Linked DNA regions of Drosophila melanogaster. The protein of the gene in region 2 purifies or fractionates together with the protein of the main gene of each other region. This does not show direct contact. Each region holds a gene or a part of one and is shown on either strand. Other genes may lie near its edges.

What was found. The genes of interacting proteins can lie anywhere in the genome.
Region 1: the proteins of pgc (region 2) and Cdk9 purify together in Drosophila melanogaster (affinity purification with western blotting, with the first as the bait; one study listed by BioGRID). This does not show direct contact.

The regions. Positions count from the first base shown.
Region 1 is NT_033778.4:22,636,059-22,639,810, forward strand, and holds Cdk9 (Cyclin-dependent kinase 9), read right to left. Parts: upstream 1,670-3,752; 5' UTR 1,533-1,669; coding exon 1,348-1,532; intron 1,286-1,347; coding exon 1,201-1,285; intron 1,142-1,200; coding exon 884-1,141; intron 816-883; coding exon 129-815; 3' UTR 5-128; downstream 1-4. Other genes in the region: bonsai, read left to right, coding at 1,795-2,000, 2,060-2,193, 2,253-2,755; CG3732 (uncharacterized protein), read right to left, coding at 2,980-3,422, 3,479-3,752.
Region 2 is NT_033778.4:22,328,171-22,331,922, reverse strand, and holds the start of pgc (polar granule component), read right to left. Parts: upstream 1,724-3,752; 5' UTR 1,662-1,723; coding exon of another isoform or gene 919-1,661; intron 862-918; coding exon of another isoform or gene 720-861; intron 666-719; coding exon of another isoform or gene 291-665; intron 76-290; coding exon of another isoform or gene 1-75. Other genes in the region: T3dh (type III alcohol dehydrogenase), read left to right, coding at 1-75, 291-665, 720-861, 919-1,661; CG34207 (uncharacterized protein), read left to right, coding at 2,203-2,508; Gp150, read right to left, coding at 3,399-3,730.

The DNA.
Region 1 (3,752 bases), 310 kb from region 2:
ACATAATGTAGGTATATTTGGAGCAAGCGCTAATGCAAATGCCAATATTTTTATTGTACACTAACCTAATAACCTAACGCTAGTTGAAGGTGAGAAACTATTAGTCGGGTGCGTACACCTCTGGCAGTCTACCAAACCCGGTCAATCATACTGTTGTCCTGGGGCTTCTGGTTCATGGTGGTCAGTTGCTGGTGATAGTTGCGCATCTGGTTGCTGCGGCGTGGCTGCGCCAGGTACTCGAACATGCTCTGCAGGTGCTGGGACAGCATCTTGCTCAAGTCGCTGGGCATGGGATCCGTCCAGAAGAAGTCGTGATTCAGAGCTGTGTCCGCATCGATGCGTTTCTTGGGATCAAGGGTCAGCAATTTGTCCAATAGATCACAGCCGGTTTGATCCTTGACATACGGACGCAGGCGCTCCTTGACTCGACGCTTCTGGTTCTTTGGCAGCTCGATGGATTTGTACAGCTCCAGCTCCTCCACTCCCGGCCACACGTCCGGCGTAAAGGAGCCGCATAGCTGCGAGATAAAGGTTAGCTGCTGCTGCTCCGTATTGCCTTGCATGATGGGCGAGCGTGTCCACATCTCGGCCATTATGCAGCCGGCTCCCCACATGTCCACGGGTGGACCATAGTTGCGGTCACCAAGTAGCAGCTCAGGCGGCCGGTACCACAAGGTTACTACGCGATTGGTATAGCGATTCTTACTCTCGTTCTTTGGAATGCTAAAAGCACGGGCCAAGCCAAAGTCAGCCAGCTTTAAGATGCCATGCTTGGTAATCAGCACGTTGGCAGCTTTCATGTCTCGGTGCAGGATCTAGTAATGCAAATGAAAACAGATACATACAATGTAAAACCAAAACTTTGCTTAATGACATGACTCACCTTGTTGCTGTGGATGTAATACAAACCGTTTAAAAGCTGCTGCATAACCTTCTTAATCTCGCCCAGACTGAACTTGACGTTCATGTTGGACAGAAGACCTGCCAAATCGTGTTCGCAGAAATCAAAGACCAAATAGAAGGTGGATCTGTAACCATTCGTGGCGGTGGCCTTGGTGCGGCAGATCTCGATCAGATTCACCACGTTCTCGTGCTTTAGCAGCTGCAGGATGCGGATCTCTCGCAGAGCCGTGATGGGAAACTAGGGGAGCACATATATAAATAAGGAATTCGTCTCTTAAGATGTTGCTTTTCACGCACGCCCTCCTTTTCGTTGTCCATCAGCACCTTCTTCATGGCCACAAACTTCTTGTTGCCCTTTTTCTCGCGAGCCTTAAAAACCTCTCTGTAATCAAAGGGGTCGTATGTTTTAGTTTAAAGTTAGTTTTCACCAATTTGGAGACTTACCCGAAGGTGCCTTGGCCAATTTTCGCCACCTTTTCGTATTTGTTGCTCTCGTCGCAGTAGGGAAAGTCGTAGTCCTCGATGTACTTTTGTTTCTCCATCAGGGACATCGTGCGCGATGAGCTGGAGCCCACGTTGGAGGGCGTCGACCCCGAAGGCTGCTGGAGCATGTGGGACATGTGCGCCATGGTTAAATTTGCCTCTATTTGTACAATTTTCACAATCACAGTTTCGCGAGAAGCCGACAGTCGAAAAGAAAGAAATCGGCAACAATTGGTGTTTCTACAGCTGTTGACTAAAGAAATACCGGTGTGCACACACTGTCAAGGCCTATCGATAAGAAATCGATGGGTCAAACAGCTGGGTAGTAATAACTTTTCGATTGTTGGTATACACTGGCCAAGTGATATAACCTAGCCAAAATTTGTCCAACAAATAAAAGCCGAATTAATGAATAAACTGTTGAATATAGCCCAGGCAGGGCATCGGCAGTTTGTCCGGGAATATGCATTCAAGTCGGACCTGAAAATCAAATGGATGCGCCCCGAGAAGATCGCGTGCTATAAGCCCGAAAAGAGCGGCGATTTAGCCAAGCTGCCTCCTCTGAAAGCCGACGAACTGCTGCCGGAATACAGGGACTGCAAGGAGTTGGATAAGTATGTTGCAGTATTCTCTCAATATAATAGTTTATTTACATCATCTCACCATTTTGTAGAGCCGACGAGTCAGTTAAATCCTTGTTCAAACTGAGCAACAACGCTAGTTACCTGACCACAAAATTCTATCGCGATGAGATGGTCAAGGAGGTGCAAAGACATGCCCAGGATTTCGGCTCAATGGAGGCCAAATGTATGTATCTTTGCAAAGTGCACATATAGCAGTTCCCCCCAAATTTGCCCTTCTTTTAGTGGCAAAAATGACTGCAGTTATCCGCCGCTACCAGGAGCACATGGACAAGCATCCGCGCGACAAGATGATCAAGGTGCGTCTCAAGGAGCTCATCGACAAACGCAAGAAGTTCCTCAAGTACTTGAGACGTTGGGATTATCCCCGCTTCGAGTGGATTCTCGAGAAACTCGACCTGGTGTACAAGCCACCGCCCACACATTTCCACTGGATCACCCGCAAGGAATCCCTCCAAAAGTTGACCGACATATACTGCGAAAACCTAAAGGAAGAGCGGCTAGAGGCTTACCATAAGCAGCTGCAGGCCCAGCAAATACCCTTCCTTGAGGAGGCCATCAAGAAGATGCAGTTCGTGCGGCAGGAACAGATTTCCTGCGATGTCCCCGTGACCGTGACAGAAGAGAAGATCGCCGACTCAAAAAGGCAGCTGGAAATGCTGAAGGAGCTGCAGCAGGCGGAGGCAGCCGCCAGCAGCAAGAAACAAAACGAGGATGGCTTCAATTAGGCCCGATTCTTTAATGTTACGGTGTCTTACAATAAATGTAAATGCTGGTTTTCTTAAATTATATGTTTTATTATACTTTAAGAGTTAGGCTGGACATCGTACCCTATGTCATGATCATCTGAGCGCATACTGGCAAATAAATAAGAAGGCAAGCATGATTGCCTTAGAAAAATGTGTAAAAACAGACGCAATTAAAGAGAAGTTCCTAAAGGGTACGGTTGCAGCTAACGTCTGCCCGACGAGGAGGTTTTCCGCCTGCCGCCGCTGCTGGAGCTACTCGAGCTGCTCGACGAAGAGTCGCTGGAGCTGGACGAACTGGACGACGACGAGGAGGACACGGAAGAGGTAGAGTCGCGTGAGGTACGCTTGCGCTCCTTGTCGCCATTGCCAGTGCCCTCTTTGCTCTTGACATCCGTGGAAGTGACTTCTTCGTCGCCCCAGAGATCGTACTTTGATAGATCCTCGTCGTCTCCCTCGTCGTCGTCCTCATCTTCTTCCTCATCATTCCGCTGCTCATCTCGGCTAGACCTTCTGGGCCTCTTTGAGTCCTCTCTATGCTCGCCGTGCTTTCGCTTCTTGCGACGACCGAACTCATCGTACTCGCTATCCGAATCCTGACGATCCTTGTACTCTACCACGCCGCGATCATTGTATCCACCGCCAAAGCCTTTAAAGAAACTGGTTAAGTGGGTTTTGAAGCAGATCAGGCTTCTACGGACTCACCAGTCCGCTCCTCCACATCCGAGAACTTAGGAGCGTTGCACATATTGCAGGTTTGGCGACGGGCCCAGTTCACATTCGCGCATTTGCTGCACTGCCAGTCCTCGGCGCTGAACAAGCCCCGCGACTTGTCGGCCGCCGCCTTGCCGATCTCGGTGCCCAGCTTTTTCTTGCTTGAGCTGCTGCTACTGCTGCTGCTCCCGTTGCCGCGTTCCCGCTCCCGGTCTCGATCCCTGTCGCGCTCCGGCTTATCACTGCCATCGCGGTCCCGGTCGCA
Region 2 (3,752 bases):
CCCGCCCATTCGCATAACTATGGCTCAGCAGCTCCAACCGCCTCCCAAACGGGTCGCATGGAATACGCCTTCGAGGTAAGTGGCAAAACCTTGGACTTTGGAGCACCTCCAGATAGTAGATTCTCATCTTTAGACAGGTGGTCATACCCTGGACCAGATAATACTATCTCTATATTCTTAAGCATCCCAATAGAATTTATATTTTAGATCTTGTGAATACTTTTAACTTAAATTTTGTTCGGTATATAACAAATTCTAATTCAAATTTGGTCAAATGTATTGATAAACAGATGTCAGCCTCGACTGTTCGATTTGGACCGGGAGTAAGTGCCGAAGTGGGAGCCGATCTTCGCAACTTGGGAGCTCGGAAGGTTTGTTTGGTCACGGATAAAAATGTCGTGCAATTGCCCTCCGTGAAAGTGGCCTTGGATTCACTGGCTCGTAATGGCATCAACTACGAAGTCTATGATGAAACCCGGGTGGAGCCCACGGATGGGAGCATGTGGCATGCCGTGGAGTTTGCGCGCGGCAAGGAGTTCGATGCATTTCTGGCCATCGGAGGAGGATCTGCCATGGATACAGCCAAGGCAGCTAATCTTTTTAGCAGTGATGCAAATGCAGAGTTTTTGGATTATGTAAACTGCCCAATTGGCAGAGGCAAGGAGGTGAGGTCTCCTTTTTAGACTTAGTACCTTTAATACCACTTGAATTCCATTTAGATATCCGTAAAACTGAAGCCCCTGATTGCGATGCCCACCACTTCGGGAACAGGTTCCGAAACCACTGGAGTAGCTATATTTGATTACAAGAAGTTGCATGCCAAAACTGGGATTTCCAGCAAGTTCCTCAAACCTACTTTGGGTAAAAAACTGAACTTCTTTAAATAATTTATTCTAATATCGTTCTATCTAACTCTAGCTGTGATTGATCCTCTGCACACCCTATCCCAGCCGCAACGCGTGATGGCTTTCGCTGGCTTTGATGTGTTCTGCCATGCCCTGGAGAGTTTCACGGCGGTGGATTACAGGGAACGCGGTTTGGCGCCCAGTGATCCCAGCTTGAGACCCACCTACCAGGGCAGGAACCCAGTGTCGGATGTGTGGGCACGATTCGCATTGGAGACGATAAGGAAAAACTTTGTGAACGCCATTTACCAGCCCGATAACCTAGAAGCCCGATCCCAGATGCACCTGGCTTCCACAATGGCTGGCGTGGGATTTGGTAATGCCGGAGTGCACCTGTGTCATGGCCTTTCCTATCCTATTTCTGGAAATGTGAGGGATTACAAGCCAAAGGGCTACTCCGCGGATCACGCTCTTATTCCACACGGCCTATCCGTGGTGATCAGTGCTCCGGCGGTCTTTGAGTTCACTGCTCCAGCTTGTCCGGATCGGCATTTGGAGGCTGCCCAGTTGCTGGGCGCAGAAGTGCGAGGTGTCGAAAAAGCAGACGCCGGTCGTCTTTTGGCGGACACTGTACGCGGTTTTATGCAACGCGCGGGCATAGAAAATGGCCTCCGAGAGCTGGGATTCTCCAGCAGCGATATACCCGCCTTGGTGGAGGGAACCCTGCCCCAGGAAAGGATCACTAAGCTAGCACCCAGGGCGCAGACGCAGGAAAACCTGTCGCAACTCTTTGAGAAGTCCATGGAGGTCTATTAATTTGGAGCCAAAACTTACCCACGCTCAACTTGTTCTCTTGAAGAAAAAAAAATGTTAAACTAACGGATCTTCGTTTAAGATCTGACCATACTTGAGCTTTCAAAATTCTATTTTTTTTAAGCGTATAAAAAGCTTAGAGTGAACCATTTAATTTTGGTTGGACTTGTGTATATACGAAAAATACCATTAAAAACCCTATACAGAATCACAGGAAATTTGATGCCCTGCTTGATTTTTGTTTACTTTATGTTCTTTGTCGCAATGGATCTTATGTACATTCAGCATTATTTTGTGGCCTCTTTTTTGGTCTGCACTTCGTTTGAGAATCCTCTACTCAGTTTGCTTTCCTAAGCTGCAGGAAGAAGACCGACGCTGGGACCAAAAATACTATGATATAAGATATTAATATTAATATAATATCATACAAATCATACATGATATCATATCATTAAAACAAAAAAAAAAGGATTAAATCCTACAAATTAGTTGCTCCAAAAAAAGCTTGTAATTTTTGTAATTATAATATATTTTAGACTGAAACATGTTTGAGTACTCCTTCATGTTCGAATCCTCCGGATGTGAGGGTAAATTTCTAGGGATGCCCTACGACGGGGAATTCGAGGCAATGTGGCAGCAGATCGGCAATGAACTCCGTTCCAGACATAATCGCTTCCTGGGAATGCCGTTCGATAGTGGATTTGAACGGATGTGGCGGCAGGTCAGAGAGGAACTGAAACGGGATCGGGAAGATAACGAATTGGCACTCTGTTTCCAGCGGAATTTGAGCACCTACGTAAAGGAGGAAGGGGATGTCGGTCAACTTGAGTCTTTTATTGAACGCAGATAAAATATATTCAATTTTATTGAAAGGCATGTTATTGTTTAAAGTACGTATGCAAGTGTGTATGTCTATTAAGTATGCATTGTAAAGATTACGATCGGTTTGGTTAAAATAATTTATTGTTTTCGGAATCGGTTTCAATGTCGAATAGGTCAAGCTGTTACTTGCCTTCGATTGGAAAAAAGATAATAAAAAAGTCTTAACATAGTTTATGCATTAATTATTTCTCTCATCTCTTGATCATATTAAAAATCAGACGTCATTCTAGGGAGTCTCCTAACCGTTTGCTACACAGACCCGCATCTAAAACTCTTACTACTTTCTGTTCCTCGCTCCTCGTTTCTTGTTCCTGACTTGACACTCAGTTTAGAAACCTTAATGTGTTTAAGTAATTTTCGCTCGGTTTGAATTTTGGCAAAATGGCACTAAATCTTCAAGTTGTTCCCGGATATGGACTAATTGGATACGGATTGTGGGCAGAGGTTTGATAAATTGCAAATCCGTTGCTTTCGAAACGGTTGCTCATCAAACGCGTTCTCTGAAAGCCCACCTCTGCTGTTGCCAAGGACCTTTGACTGGTCTTAACAGTATTTGATGGTACAGGATATTTCAAGGATAAAGGATTTTGTCAAAGATTTATTCTCTCTCTTTCAATCTCTTATTTGGATTCAAGTATTTTTTAGTTGTTGCTTTGTTTCCTCGCACTTTCGCTAATACTTTTAACTGCCACCTACTGCTCCTCCTCCTGTTTCTTACATTCTTGTGCTTGTGTTTAGTCAATTGTCTGATGTGATTTTCCACTTTTTCAACTATCAATATACTTATAAATTAGAAAAACAGCGCAACTCGTTCGATTTCCGCGGCCACCGGCCCGGAACTGCTGATTCTAGGTGGACTTAGACCTGATTGATGGGCGCGTATCGGTGCACCTTTGGCTGCTTCAGATGCTTGGGCTCCTTCTGCTCCTTGCTGGTCGGCTTCACGATGTCCTCGCTCAACTTCTGGTATACGAACGAGTTCTTTGAGGCCAGCAGCGCCATGCGATAGCGCTCGCCGCGCTTGCGCAGCACCACGTAGATCACTCGGGCGATGGACAGCACGATCATCAGGAGGCAGAAGGACACGACGATCAGTGGGACCACCAGGTCGTAGGATAGTTCGCCGTGGAAGATCATCTTCTCGGTGTACTCATCTGACTCCTCGCTTTCGCTGTCGAAGCCCAGTTTCTCTGAGAAGGTAAAACATACGAT